Lytechinus pictus: one gene and its partner. The protein of the gene in region 1 purifies or fractionates together with the protein of each later gene. This does not show direct contact. Links are inferred from orthologs where the notes say so. Each region holds a gene or a part of one and is shown in the gene's direction. Other genes may lie near its edges.

The links. The genes of interacting proteins can lie anywhere in the genome.
Region 2: the proteins of E3 ubiquitin-protein ligase AMFR-like (region 1) and ubiquitin-associated domain-containing protein 2-like purify together in Homo sapiens (affinity purification with western blotting; 4 studies listed by BioGRID and IntAct, with this or other methods). This does not show direct contact. The link is inferred for Lytechinus pictus from reciprocal best matches to the Homo sapiens genes AMFR and UBAC2.

The regions. Positions count from the first base shown.
Region 1 is NC_087246.1:24,896,012-24,903,600, forward strand, and holds the start of E3 ubiquitin-protein ligase AMFR-like, read left to right. Parts: upstream 1-4,526; coding exon 4,527-4,538; intron 4,539-6,783; coding exon 6,784-6,948; intron 6,949-7,589. Other genes in the region: uncharacterized protein LOC135157617, read right to left, coding at 1-1,981. UniProt on the Homo sapiens protein: E3 ubiquitin-protein ligase that mediates the polyubiquitination of lysine and cysteine residues on target proteins, such as CD3D, CYP3A4, CFTR, INSIG1, SOAT2/ACAT2 and APOB for proteasomal degradation.
Region 2 is NC_087260.1:29,144,794-29,152,143, forward strand, and holds the start of ubiquitin-associated domain-containing protein 2-like, read left to right. Parts: upstream 1-4,350; 5' UTR 4,351-4,439; coding exon 4,440-4,476; intron 4,477-7,350. UniProt on the Homo sapiens protein: Restricts trafficking of FAF2 from the endoplasmic reticulum to lipid droplets.

The DNA.
Region 1 (7,589 bases):
CTATGAACTCTTCCAATGGTCCAATGGCTGACACATTGATGTAGTTCAGCAGTGAAGTTGAATTTGTAGACCGTCCTCCTTGAACAAACCAGCCAAAGGGGCATCTTACAGCGACAGGATCATCAAACTTTTCGCCAAGGATGTATTCTTCCCAGATCATCAAGTGTGTGTTGTCCACACCAAGGAGTACGTCGATGGTTTCGGATGGGGCAGCATGGATATCAATGGCGCTCAGATGCTCATACTGCCGAAGCTGTTCTGGTAGTACAATAGGAGTATCACCGCAGGGTTGATTTATCTCTGTCATGGTTAAAGGACATGACCAATTCCCTGCAATATCTTCAATGTAGCAGTCCAACAGTCTCAATTTCCTTGTTATCTTGCTGCCACCAACAAGACTCAGATCATGGTCCTGGAAAAGGCCTCTCTCTGTCCTTGGAAGAATCCCTTCCCTTAACAGTGTAGCTTGGCTACCACCATCCAACAGGATGCGCACCAGGTGCCGGACATCGCCACATCGTAGATAACCAACAACAGTAGGTAAAGTGCTTTGAAGCTTCCCTGTCTCGTTGGTGTGGGCTGTTGTCACGTTGATTGAGGTTGAACGTGGAGATTCCATAGTGTTGCGTGTTTGGTTTGCAGGACCTTGACCACTCTCTCCGTATATGACAGGGCAGACAGCTGCGAAGTGTGAGTCACTGCCACACGTTTGGACTCTGCATGGAGCAACAAACTGACAAGAGTTTTGGTCATGTGGAGGCTTGCCAGCAACACAGTTGTTATGCCCACATCGGTAACAGATACCATTCTTTCTCATTACTTTATATTTCTCATTCTGTGGCAGGCTCTTGAACTTGTTGCAAGTCTTCAAGTAGTGCGAGTCTGCATTGGGGTGGATGGCACACTTGGCGACCCCGGAGTGTCTGGCCTTGCTTGGTTGGCTCTGGTTATCAGAAGTATATGAAGCAGCGCTTGTAGACTTATACACCTTATGTTGTCTTTGTGGAGGGCTAGGCGAATTGTCCCCACTGTTAGGCTTCGCCTTCTCGAGCAGCAAAAGTTGGCTGTATAACCACTTGACCAGACCGGTGAGGGAATCATCAATCCTGTCATCTCTAACACCTTTATAATATGCGATGCGGTGTTCCTCTGGGAGCTTCTGCTTAATCTGACTCAACATGATCTTACTGTTAAGCTCTCCAGATAGGCCAATGGTCTCAGCTTGGGTTTCGAAGTTTTGAAGAGTCTGGACAAAATGACCCATGGCGGGGAGGTTTGTTTTGCCTTTGATCTCGTATGTCCTCAGGTTCTCTAGATCTTTTAGTAGGCTGTCTACTACTTTGTCCTGATCGCCGTAACACTCATCAAGTACTTGCCAGGCTCGTTCAACACTAATGCACCCTTTGATTTTGTCGCGTTCTTTGACATTAATCATTGATTCGGTCAGTTGATGGAAGCATTCCATCTCTGTTAACTCTGTTGCACAGTGGGTGAACAATTCTTTGAAACGCTTGTAGTCTCGAAGGTTCCCATTGAAAGTTGGGAATCTCATTCTTGCCATTCTTGGAGCAGCCGACGTAGCGGTGTGGGGCATAGGAGATGGCGCATATGAAGCTGGACTGGATCTTGGATGTGGAATTGTAGGTGAAGAGGGGAGAAACTGTTGATTGTCCAGGGGAGATTGAGACTGACGGTCGACGACCCTCCTTCCCCGTATTAACACCTGGACGTACTCATTTTCACATTCTCCCATCCATTTCTCCTCCACCTCATACTCTCTCTGATCTTCGATGATATCCATCAGCGCCGAATGTTTCTCTTCCACTTTCTCAAATTGTTGCTCAGCTTTAGTGATGTATTTCTTTAACATGTCTAGATCACCAACGGCATCTGTTGTAAGGCTGTCAATTGTCGATAATGTTCGCGTCAACTGACCCTTGATGTTTCGTCTTGATAGCTTCAACTTGTTGACGTCAGCCATGATGTAAGTTGAAGCAGGTTGATATACACTATAGTTGTTGAAGATGTCACGAATTCGTAAGTTCTGACACGTTGTTGCAATGAACTACAAGGAAGGCGTCTGTGAACTATATGCTCCCATTTATTAGATTATGTCTAATAACATTGTAGTGTTCAGTTATTCAACAACTGTGTGAGATTCCTGTAAATAAACAATAAAGGATAAACATATCTTAGTAAAGAAAGCATTTCTGTACATGTATCATCATTCTTTCCCAAAATATTCATTAAAGACATAAGGAATAATCAATCATGCCCTTTAACCATTTTGCTGTCAAAGGTAGAATTTAACTGAAAGTAATAAGAGAGAATTAATGAAACTTTCCTAATTCAGTCTTAATATCATTGTTTCCCAATTCCAACAAATCTACCCTATATGATAAGATATCATAATTATCTAGCAACAAACATCTGTGAAAAATATATTTGTCTTCAAAATAACAAGGTATAGATTTAATCAGTTAAATCTCTAAAACTGTAACAGAAAATTCCTATTGTTTTGTTTCCCTTCTGAATCAATAAAATTCACTTGAAAAACAATTATCAATATTAGTGGTGATTGAATTATTATTTCACGAATTTTGTGTAAGCAATGTAATTTTAAAGACATCAGTTCTAAGTAACAAGAATTAACTGTAAGACAACATTAACTATCACTACTGAAAGATAAACAATAACGTCATGAAACCCTGCTATAACACGTGTAAACTCCGGGCGGCGGATCACACCAAAATTCCTGGAAATATCAATCCGCGAGCCAACTCGCACGTAAGTTTGTGACCATACCACATCAAATGAGTAGGAAAAATAGTGCATAACTAAACTGGCTTGTAAATATGTTAAACAACAATAAATCCTATAAACTTGGATTTAAGAAAATACTCTAAATTCGTAGAGTCATAATCATGAGTACATCTTAAGAATTGCGTGTCACAAGACAACATTTTGAAGATATCGACCGCAGAGAACTTCTGCGTGTATTCAAGATACGCAAGGTCCTTCGTTGGAAAGTGTGATGGATTTTCAAAGTATAATCTAAACCTAAATCTCTTCAACAAGGTATTTAAAAGAGGAATACAAAGATATTAATAAACTACACATTCTCATTAAATCTACAAAAGTTTTTGAGCAAATCTCAACATACCTTGCATAGCATAAAGCGTGAAAACTAAGGAAATCTTGTGATCAATTGAATGAAGCAAACTGCTGTGATTTTACGAACTCGATCGTGTTGTTCTAACTAGTCTACGTACAAGGACACGCGCAAGCGCACAATTTAAAAATACACATATACTTCAACATGTCATGACAGGGTCGAACCTTGTTTTTTTAGATATACAATGTTTTTTTATGGTTTCTTGTCAATTCGAGGGTGCTGATTCCGAATATGAATGATGCCACTCTTGTAACCTTGAGCATTTTCCGCAAATTGGCAAAATCCAATATGGCCGCCAAAAAATGCAAATTACCCATGAAAATCATAGAATTGCCCACACATTAGCTATAAAATGCATGTAGTTGTTGTGCAGAAGTGAAATACCCGTTGTAAAAGCGATATTTGATAAAATATTTATTTTATTGATATTCAAAATGGCCGCCATAACCCCTGTATACCTTATTATGTAGAATATGAATGGGGAATTTTTTTTTTTAACATGAGCACTATTATTGCATGTGATTGTGACCTGCGAGTGGACTACTGTCTGAAAACATGACTTTTAACAAAACTATGTCATTTGTATACTATCTAATGTGATTAATGCTGTATTATGATATTCAAAATGACTGTCATAGACCCATTATAAAAGGGGACAAATAATTTTCACAACCTTTGAATTTGTTTGACTTTAAAATGCCAATAACTGCGAAATATTGGTGAAACACTTTCTGACAACAAGGATTTCTAACGAAACATATCATTTCCCTTGCAATTTCGGTAATTATGCTGCATTTTTACATTCAAAATGGCTGCCATAGGCCCTATCTGTATTATGAACAAAGCGAATGAAGAAACTAATTTTCACAAGATTAAAAACAGTAAAATGAATGTAATTGTAATCTACGAGTGAAATATTGTCTCAAAACATGTTTTCTAGCGAAACATATCATTTCCTTTTTCATGTATGAGATAAATGCTGTATTGTAAAATTCAAAATGGCCCCTATGGGCCCTTACAGTATTATCTACAATGTAAATAAATGGGGACAAATACTTTTGGAAGAATTAGGATTTGCCTGACTATGAAATCCATATAATTCTGTTGTATAAGGAAAATATTGTATGAAAACTTGATTTTTTTTTTATTAAATATAACATTTCCTCTCCCATATAGGTGATAAATACTGTATTTTGACTTTCAAAACGGCCGCACAAGCCATTATAAATTCTGTAACATGCGTATAGGGAAACTAATAATCACCAGAATGAGAACAAAAAACGCACGTAACTATGTGATGTATAGGTAAAATTTGGTCTTGAACATGATTTCTGACTAAATACATCACATAATGGTTAAGAAGGTAATAAAGGCCTTACTTTAAAATTCAAAATTGATGCAATAGCCAAAAGTAGTATGTACATTGTAACTGGGGACAGCTAATTTTGACAGAATTTTTACTACGAAAATGGCTTAATTTTGATAAAAGTGTTAAGTATTGTCTAAACCCAATGATTTCTAACGAAATATATCATAGCTTGTGTCATAAAGGTGATGAATGCTGCCTTTTAAAAATGAAAAATGGCCGCCCGATAGTCCCTTATCTTAATATGTAAAATTTGAATGGGGAAAGATAATTTCCACACAAAAAAAACATATTGCAGCCATTTTGAATTTTAAATATAGCATTTATCACCTAAATAACATAAGAAATTATCTATTTGGTTAGAAATCGTATTTTCAGACAATATTTCATCCATACATGCAACACCATTTTAGTCAAGCAAAGCCAAATTCTGTTAAAATTATATGTTCCCATTCACAAAGTACATAATAGGCCTACCGTTAGGGCCTGTAGCGGCCATTTTGACTTTCAAAATACATTATTTATCACCTACCTGGCAGAATGAATGATATATCTTGTTAAAAATTATGTTTTCAGACAATATTTTACTCTTAAATCACAATTATATGCATGTTATGGTGCTGACTCCTGTGAAAATTGGTTTCCCAGATCGATTGTACATAATACAGTCAATGTCTTTTGGTGGCCATTTTGAAAGTGAAAATGCAATATTTAACACAAATATGATACCCTTAATAATATATTTCGTTGCAAATTATATTTGAAGACAGTATCCCACTAATTTACCACAAAAAAATGCGTTTTAGTGCTCACATTGTGATTGTTTTTGTCCTCTCTCACATCGTAGATCATAATTCTAGGGCCTTTGGCGGCCATATTAAATATCAATATACAGGGTTTATCACATACATGGCATGTTAAATAATAAATTTCGTTAATAATGTTTTTAGTCAGTATTCCACTCGTTTATCTTAACAAAATGCATTTTAGTGCTCACTCTTGTGATTTTTTTGTCACCATTCACATTGTACATAATAGTGTTAGGGCTTTTGGAGGCCATTTTGAATATCAAAATACAGGATTTATCACATAACTGACATAAAAAATGATATATATCGTTAGCAATCATGTTTTCAGACATTGCTTCACTCATAGATTATAATTACTTGCATTTTCATTGCTCAAGTTTGTAAAAATTAATTTTCCCCATTCATGTTGTACAGGGGTCTATGATGGCGGCCATTTTGATATCAAGAAAATAAATATTTTGACAAAAATAATTTTTTCAGATATTATTTCACTCCGGCAGCACAATTGCATGTACTTTATAGCCAATGTGTGGACAATTTTATGATTTTCATGGGTAATTTGGATATTTTAGCGGCCATATTGGATTTTGCCAATTTGCAGAAAATGCTCAAGGTTACACGAGTGGCATCATTCAGATTCGGAATCAGCACCCTCTAATTGACAAGAAACCATAAAAAAACATTGTATATATAAAAAAACAAGGTTCGACCCCTTCTATCCTGGACTATTCTGGATGATGTTCAGACTTTGTTTATCAAGCCTACATTTACATGTTTGTGCCATCCCTGTGTAGCCCAAATTTCAATTACGGTAATGGTCAGTTTTGGGATTATATCAGGCTTTTTAATAAGTACTAAGCACTGCACATCATAAGATACCATCAAAATGATTTTGTTTGATCTGGGCCCTGTTGCATAAAAGTTTCTATTTTGATAACTGTGCCATCCAATGGTAACTACCATGGTAACACTGATCAACAGCCAATCAAGGATTCCATGCAAGTTACCACTGGATGGCATAGTTACCATAATGATTGATAGCTTTTCTGCAATGGGGCACTGTTTCCCATTTCATAAAGACTAACAAGTTTACCATCAACCAATCAAATTTAATGATTTCAATAGCTTACGTATATTACTGTTATTGCATATTTGTAATTATAAAAAGTTTTATGAAATGGGACAGGACTAGTTTGCCATGATTGATTGATTGATAAATTCAAAGTGGATGAAAGGGTTGATAGTAAGGTTGGCTCTTGGAAATATCTTGGTCATTCCTGGGACATACCTGAGAAAATTGAATGAGTAAGTACTGGTCATGGTTGTTCACTAGCGTCAAATCTATTTCTTGTTTACCAAATATGTGCCCTTTATTGTTTTCAACATTATCTATTGTCCTTTTATAATGTTGTACCTTGCATATTTCTTTCTAGCATCTTCGAGACAAGTTGTGGAACTTCTCTTTCTACAAGCTCATTGTGGTGTTTGGTGTACTCAATGTTCAGACTCTAGAGGAGTTGGTTCTCTGGGTTGGATGGTTCGCTATTCTAGCTTTCCTTCATGGTTTTGCCCAACTTTCCAAGGACAGGTTTGAATATGTGAGTAAAGAGCCATTTTGTTTTAATGAGTTATCAGCGAAGTCTTTCATTTTGTCTTTTATTTTGTTTTTACTTGTACAGTAGGTGTATTCAAAGCCAATCAGATACAGTGATTTCAGTAGCTTGTATCATTTTTCAGTGTAAATCCTAGACTAATTGTTTTATGAAACAGTCCCCAGAAGTGCAGGTCCAGACACACTGATTAATGCTTCTATCAACAAGTAGATCTTCAGGAAGATCTAGCAAAATTTTAGAAATCATAACAGAAAGAGATAAATCAAAAACAAATTGATGCATAATGTGGGGCAAGAATATTCAATTATGACCATTACTAGTTAATTATTATTTTTAATTGAGCATCTGTGTCACTCTAAGTTTGCAGAAGCTATAGTACATGTACACGATCCCCATCTATGTAGTCTTTTAAACACTATAGCACATTTTGTCAACCAAGGCTTTGCAAAGTCTGCAAACTGCTCAAGATGCCAGGATTTCAAAAGTGTAAACAGTTATCAGTGAAACTTGATGATAGGTGCATCATGAAATATTCTCAGACGTCCACTCATTTCATACATCAGTTAAGCAGATAAAAGCTGCACTGATTATTTTTTAATGCTTACATGTAGTTTCTTCTCTCTTTG
Region 2 (7,350 bases), on another chromosome or scaffold:
AAATGCTCCGAAACATAGGGGGTGCATCGACGAATATGTATCGCGTGCTATGTGTTATGTACGTGTATTCCAACAATTCCACTTTGGTCTGGTAATAAATTCGCCGCTAATCGAAATCACCTTTTTATGTCATGAAGATCAACCAAATTGATCTTTATTAATTATTTAATCGATCTAGGGGTGAACTTTGGTGGACAGAAAAGGAGAACGGGGTCTAAGATGCCCCGAAACATTGGGCGTGCATCGACATACGTTATAATCCGATTAGTTAACTTCGTATGGGCTCGTAATAAATTCGCCAAAAATCAAAATCAGCCCATATCTCTTGTGACTCCATAATTTATGATATATCTTTATCCATTCATTTGGCGATTTAAGGTTGAAAAATAATGCACCAAAAAGGGAGACGGTGTGTAGGAAGCCCGTAAACTGAAGGCAGTGTATATTGACATATCCGATTAGTTTAATTTCTGTAGGCCTGGAATCGTATTCAATTCGCCAAAAATCGAAATAAACTTTATATCTCTTTTAAACTCAACAAACTTGAACTTTATTAATCTCTGCATCTTATATAGGGGTGAACAGTGATTTATAGAAAAGAGGGATGGGTTTAAAGGTCAAGTCCACCTCAATAAAATGTTGATTTGAATCAAAAGAGAAAAATCAGACAAGCATAATGCTGAAAATTTTCATCTAAACCGGATGTAAAATGAGAAAGTTATGACATTTTAAATTTTCGCTTATTTTATACAAAATAGTACAAATTAGTCACATGCTAATGAGAGAATCGATGATGTCCCTCACTCACTATTTCTTTTGTTTTTTGTTTTTGTTTGAATTATGCAATATTTCAATTTTTACAGATTTGACAATAATAAGGACCAACTCGACTGAAACATATAATGTTAAACAGTGGTAATTCCACATGTTCAGTGAGAAATGAAACTTTGTTTCACAGGACAATGAGGAGAAAATTAGATTATTTCATATTTCTTATAATTAAATACAAAAGAAAAAGTGAGTGATGTCATCAGTTCTCTCAATTGCACACCGACCGGGATGTGCATATAACTATTATGTGAAAATAAGCAAAACTTTAAAATTTCATAGCTTTCTTCTTTTACATCCGATTTTGATCAAAATTTCAGTGTTATATGTTCAATAGGATTTTCCTGTTTTCAAATCAACTTTTTATTGGGGTGGACTAATTGTCCTTTAAGATACCCCGAAAGTGAGGTCAAATAAGTGGGGCGTACTTTGCTTCGCCGGATTTTATTTTCAAGTTTTTAGACACATTCAACTCTTTTTTAAGATGCTTTATTCTTGGCGATAAAACTGGTGATTTGCAGTTTATATTTCAACATTGCTTCAAGTGGCCATGTGGCAGATCCAGGATTTTGTCACATCTTCCTGAAAATTCAACAGCGAAAAAACAGGTCCTTACCATTTAAACATTATATACTCTGTCTTTTAAGGTGAGTGCACAAGTTTTCATTATACTTCTCAAAAATGGAACCGGCCGGATGTTCTCGATCCCCCTTTTAAGATCCATCAGTGATATCAACAAACATGGAGACACAGACAATATTTACGTAATCATGAATAATTGTATAGACTTACATGTAGAAATGCACACAAAATACAACGTTCGGATTAATTCGAATTATATTCAGGTTTTTGTAAAAAAAAATACTTAAATAAGATGTAAAATCAACCAAGAAAACTTAATATGTTTGAATATATATGATTGGAAGAGTTATGGCAAGATAAAAGATGCAGGATGCATGATGAAGTAAAATATAATCTATTTTAGACATTTGAGAGAGAGAAGGAAAGCGAGGAACAAAAGATAAAAAGGGGAGAGAGGGAAGAGATAGAGAATGAGGATAGAAGATATCCACTATCATATAGCATTTATTTCCAAGCGAGACATATGAAATTGGTATAACATGAATGAAAATAACTGTACATGTATATTATATAAAAGTACGGTAAAGATAGATAGATGAACGGTATTTACCATGATAACGTTCAATTCGCAGCCAATTAAAGCTGAATAAGATAGATTTGCACATGCGGAGTAAAATGGCAGTATAAAAACAAATAGTAAAACAATATCAACAAAAACAACGTATATCAATGCATAATATAAGGAAAGGGATGCAAAGATAAATGCATACAAAGGAAGAAAGAATTAAGGGAATTAGAGATCAAGCACTGACTGTGAAGAATTACATTTTATACGGAAAGTTTCCTTCGTTTCACTCCTAATTATTTGTTATTTCGTGTTAAGAAAGGTACCATTTCATACAATCCGCTCTTAACATAGTGAAAAATAACACGGATATGTTATTCTTTCAGTATTGCCCAAAATCATATATAATCATGTTAAAAATATTACTTGTGTTAAAATGCTTTAACTTGAGGCTACTCATATTCCAACAATTCCACTTTGGTTAAATTCGCCGCTAATCGAAATCACCTTTTTATGTCTTGAAAATCAACCAAATTGATCTTAATTAATCATTTCATCGATTTAAGGGGAACAGTGGTGCATAGAAAAGGGGGACGGGGTCTACGATGGCCCGAAAGGTGGGGGTGCATTAATATTGACGAAAATACGGCGCCTGCTATTATGGCGTGCTATATGTCCGTGTATATTCCAACAATTCCACTTTGGTCTGGTAATAAATTCGCCGCTAATCGAAATCACCATTTTATGTCTTAAAAATCACCCAAATTGATCTTTATTAATCACTTCATCGATTTAGGGGTGAACATTGGTGCACAGAAAAGAGAGACGGGGTCTACGATTCCCCGAAAGGTAGGGGGTGCATGGACGAAAATATAGCGCGTGCTATGTATTATATCCGTGTATCCCAACAATTCCACTTTAGTCTGGTAATAAATTCGCCGCTAATCGAAATCACCTTTTTATGTCTTGATAATCAACCAAATTGATTTTTATTAATCACATCATCGATCTAGGGGTGAACATTGGTGCACAGAAAAGGGGGACGGTGTCTACGATGCCCCGAAAGGAGGGGGTGCATTGACGAAAATACGGCGTCTGCTATTATGGCGTGCTATATTATGTACGTGTATTCCAACAATTCCACTTTGGTCTGGTAATAAATTCGCCGCTAATCAAAATCACCTTTTTATGTCTTGATTTGACGAAGTACGCCCTCTAGCGTTATTAGTATACATCTCTATGGCTGGCTTGCTTCAATCAACGAATTGTTAATTAACTAGGGCCCATTTCTCAACACATGGACAAGTTAGTCATATCTTTATCCACCAACCACGGAGTTAGTTCCAATCTTACTAAACATGTTTCTCGAAAGGTTTCCTAACTAGAATACCTTGATATCGATACTATCGGTAGAACGAGCAGACGAGACGTAGCCTTAGTCACAAAATAGCATAATATTAAAAAAGAAAAATTATTACAAAATTGCAAATATTGTGATAAATTGGGAAATAAATCTTTTCAAAATAATAGCACAGGTGAATTATGCATCATACATACTTAGACCATGAAGACTTGAGCATTCAATTGCAGAGAAAATTAAATTATGAATAATTCATTTCATGACTAAAAAATCACTTGTGGACGTTGAGATTGGGTACCCCCGGGATATCCAATTTTAATAGTTTACGAAAGTAAACCATAACGGTTTTCTTTGTAAAATGATGATAATTATGCGGTCTTTTACGATTCCGAACGTCATCAAAATATAGTTTAACGAAACATTTTTAACCATTGATACCGAAACATACGATATTTGACAAATTATATGCATAAATTAGAGATTAGAATTTATCCAACTGTTAATAGGGGTCTGAAAACAACAAATACGAGTTCAGTTATGGATGGCCTGACGTGGTAGAATATTTATCGATTAAATCATTTTACTATTTCAAAATGAATGGTTTTGTGGCGTTTTACCAATAGTTTTTATAGTTTCTTTGTATTACAATTATCATTGAATGCATTAACCCACTTGTTTTGTGATGTAATTTCAACCTCTATGATTGATTACGTAAGATTATAATTTTAAAATTTATATGCGCTTTTGCATGTCATAGTCTACCCACGTGATGCCACTACGTCATTAAGAAAGAAGTTATGACAGGTTCGGAGGTGTCATAAATATTTAGTGAGGTTGTTGTACCCGATCTTGGTAAAGAGGGCTTCGTGAAACGGTTAGCGGACAAGTAGCTCACTATCTCCGATTTAGTCAAGAAGTTAGACTTATGACGGTGTTGAGAAACGGGCCCCAGTGTCTGTACTGTAGCTGTGCGCAGCTGGGTTTGTGCGCTGGCGCTGGCTTCAGCTAGCCTGGCATGCGTGAAACACGGATCTTGAAGTTCGGATTGTAAATCAACCCAGGAATCCAACTGAGATTTTTTAGCTTGTCTAAATCGATTTAAAGATGTCACAGCCATACAGTTCATCAGGGTTTTGTGAGTGTAAATCTTCTTCTTGAAATATTTATATTTTGAATGTTCACGACTATTTCCCGCAAAATAAGCGCAATTATGTCACCGTTGCTTTTCATGAAAATGAAAAATCACAGTCCCATACATTGAATACCTTGTATTATGATTTATGTTAGACCAAAAGCTTCGGTCTCTGTTATTGTTAATATGTTGGTTGTTCAGCTGAACTCCGTTGGCTTCACTCACCAAATACAGAGACCGAAGTTCTAGCGCGATCTGTACAGGGGACTCAATGGCCATATGTTTATGTACTTAAGATTGGATAAAACGGGGAAGTGAATTTACGCGACAGCTGAGGTAAGTCTGTTTTTGTTCCTTTTAACTTGATTTTTCTCAGTTTTTTGGCAATTAATGCCAAGAGGGAATATTAATTTGCATTTTGGTCGCGTTAATTTTCAAAAACTTTATTCATATTTAAAGACAAGAATTGAAGAGCCCAGACGGGGGGATTTTGCATTGCAAGTCCCCTAATGGTGGCTGCACGCTAGCTAACCTAGCCAGGCGGCTTCTAGAGAGTAAAAATCATTTACTAACGTAAGGTCACTCTCATGAAGCCAGGGCTTCCGTCATATACTTTTGTGTGTACCACCAAAAAACCTGAAACTTTCGCCCCCGAGATTTCTACTTTCTTTCTAAAAGATCTAGCCCTAAATCATGTACATGGGATAAAACTTCATTTCCGACATTTCTACGCTCTCGTTTTTATTTTTGAACAAGAATTCATCAAAAAAATGAGAGAAATATTGTGTAAAGACGGAAGAGACTTGCCCAATGTTTACGCCGCCATCTTGTTTCCTATTGTTCTTCGCCAACGTTACAGACGCGTGACACAATATTTCTCTCATTTTTTTGATGAATTCTTGTTCAAAAATAACAACGAGAGCGTAGAAATGTCGGAAATGAAGTTTTATCCCATGTACATGATTTAGGGCTAGATCTTTTAGAAATAAAAGTAGAAATCTCGGGGGCGAAAGTTTCAGGTTTTTTGGTGGTACACACAAAAGTATATGACGGAAGCCCTGGCTTCATGAGAGTGACCTTACGTTAGTAAATGATTTTTACTCTCTAGAAGCCGCCTGGCTAAGCTAACCCAGAGAGCTCCCGCCCGCGCAGCGGGCGGGAGCCCAGAAGCTTACCGTGTATTTTACCATTGTCACCGGACTAGGGTGATTTACGGTCTAAATATTTCTCCAAATGAATTGTGAAAACAGAAAGTATACAATTACCACGATTATATGGATGAAGGTCTAACGAGTGGCAGATTCCTGACATCTGGGCACAGTCTGGAACCTAAAAAAAACGAAAAGTTCTCTCCTTCTACCCCGTCTCGATCGGCCATTTTTGTTAAAAATCGTAACAAAATGGCCGAGTTTTTTGGTGGTACACACAAAAGTATATGACGGAAGCCCTGGCTTCATGAGAGTGACCTTACGTTAGTAAATGATTTTTACTCTCTAGAAGCCGCCTGGCTAAGCTAACCCAGAGAGCCGGTAAGCTTCTAAGCTTCTGAGCCGGTAAGCTTCTGAGCCGGTAAGCTTCTAGGCCGGTAAGCTTCTGGGCTCCCGCCCGCTGCGCGGGCGGGAGCTCTCTGGGTTACACGCTAGCGAGCCGTCTGTGTATGAGGAGAAATAAAAAAAATAAAAAAATGTTAAAAAACTCCTCGAAACAGACGGCTGCCAGCTGTCTAGATTTATGTAGGCCCTAGTCATGCTAGTACGGTAAATTCCTCACACCCACTCTAGACTAGGCACCATGCCTATCAATTCCTGTGTTAAAATAGTGAGTGCACGCGAATCAGAAGTTGGACTTAAATTACTAGATATTACCATGGAGCTCTATGACGAAATCTATTTTTAAATTAGACCCTAGATACTACTTATGGAAAATAATGTATAAATAGTACTCGCCTGGTCTTTTCTTCACTCTAAGCACCAAGGCTATTAATTCCTGTGTTAAAAAAATGAGTGCACGCGAATTAAATGTTGGACTTAAATTACTAGATCTTACCATGGAGCTCCATGACGAAATCTATTCTTAAATTAGACTCTAGATATTACTAAATTGAAAAAAATGTATAAATAGTACTCGCCTGGTCTTTTCTTGGGGTATTGAAGCCTTTTTGTCCAGAACTTGCTCAACTTTTGCGGCAAATTTTGTCGCCATAGGGTTGTGCACATTCTGGTTTAATACTGGTTGTCACGTGACACGGCAATGTCGTTAGGCTGTTTGGCCTGTATTCAAGGCGTTCTATCCGTTATGATTTTATATTGAATGAAGCAATTTCCATCAGGTATAGGCCCCTATCAAGTCAAAATAAATTAAGAGGCTTTTATAGGAGGAAATTATAATTTGTTAACAAATTTTCGGCATTACTCCTATTTCAAGGCTCCACATTAACTTTTTTTGGTGGTGGCCCGTTCGGGCCACCAAAACCATCAAATAATTTTTTTTGGTGGCCCGATATTAAAGTTTGGTGGCCCGAAAAATATAAAGAAAAACATTAAAAATGAATAAAACAAACTTCTGAAATATTAATTCTGCAGCCACTACCACTAAGTTACTTTCACTTTATACATCTTGTATGTAAACCTTGCTTGCTGTTATTTTACTTTGCTAGTTGATAATTGTTTCTATCGTTGTAAAAATGAAATGATTGAAAGTGAATAAATGAATTGTATTGTTCGCAGGTTGTGTGGACTTTTTTTAAATCTCTGTGTAGAGATAATGGTAAAGTAAATAAATAGTGCATAGCAAACTCAGATAGCTGTACAAAACAATGGTTTTTCCTTTCTTCCTCTTTGAATCCTAAAACCTAGATTATGCATGCCCCAAATCCAGTTTATT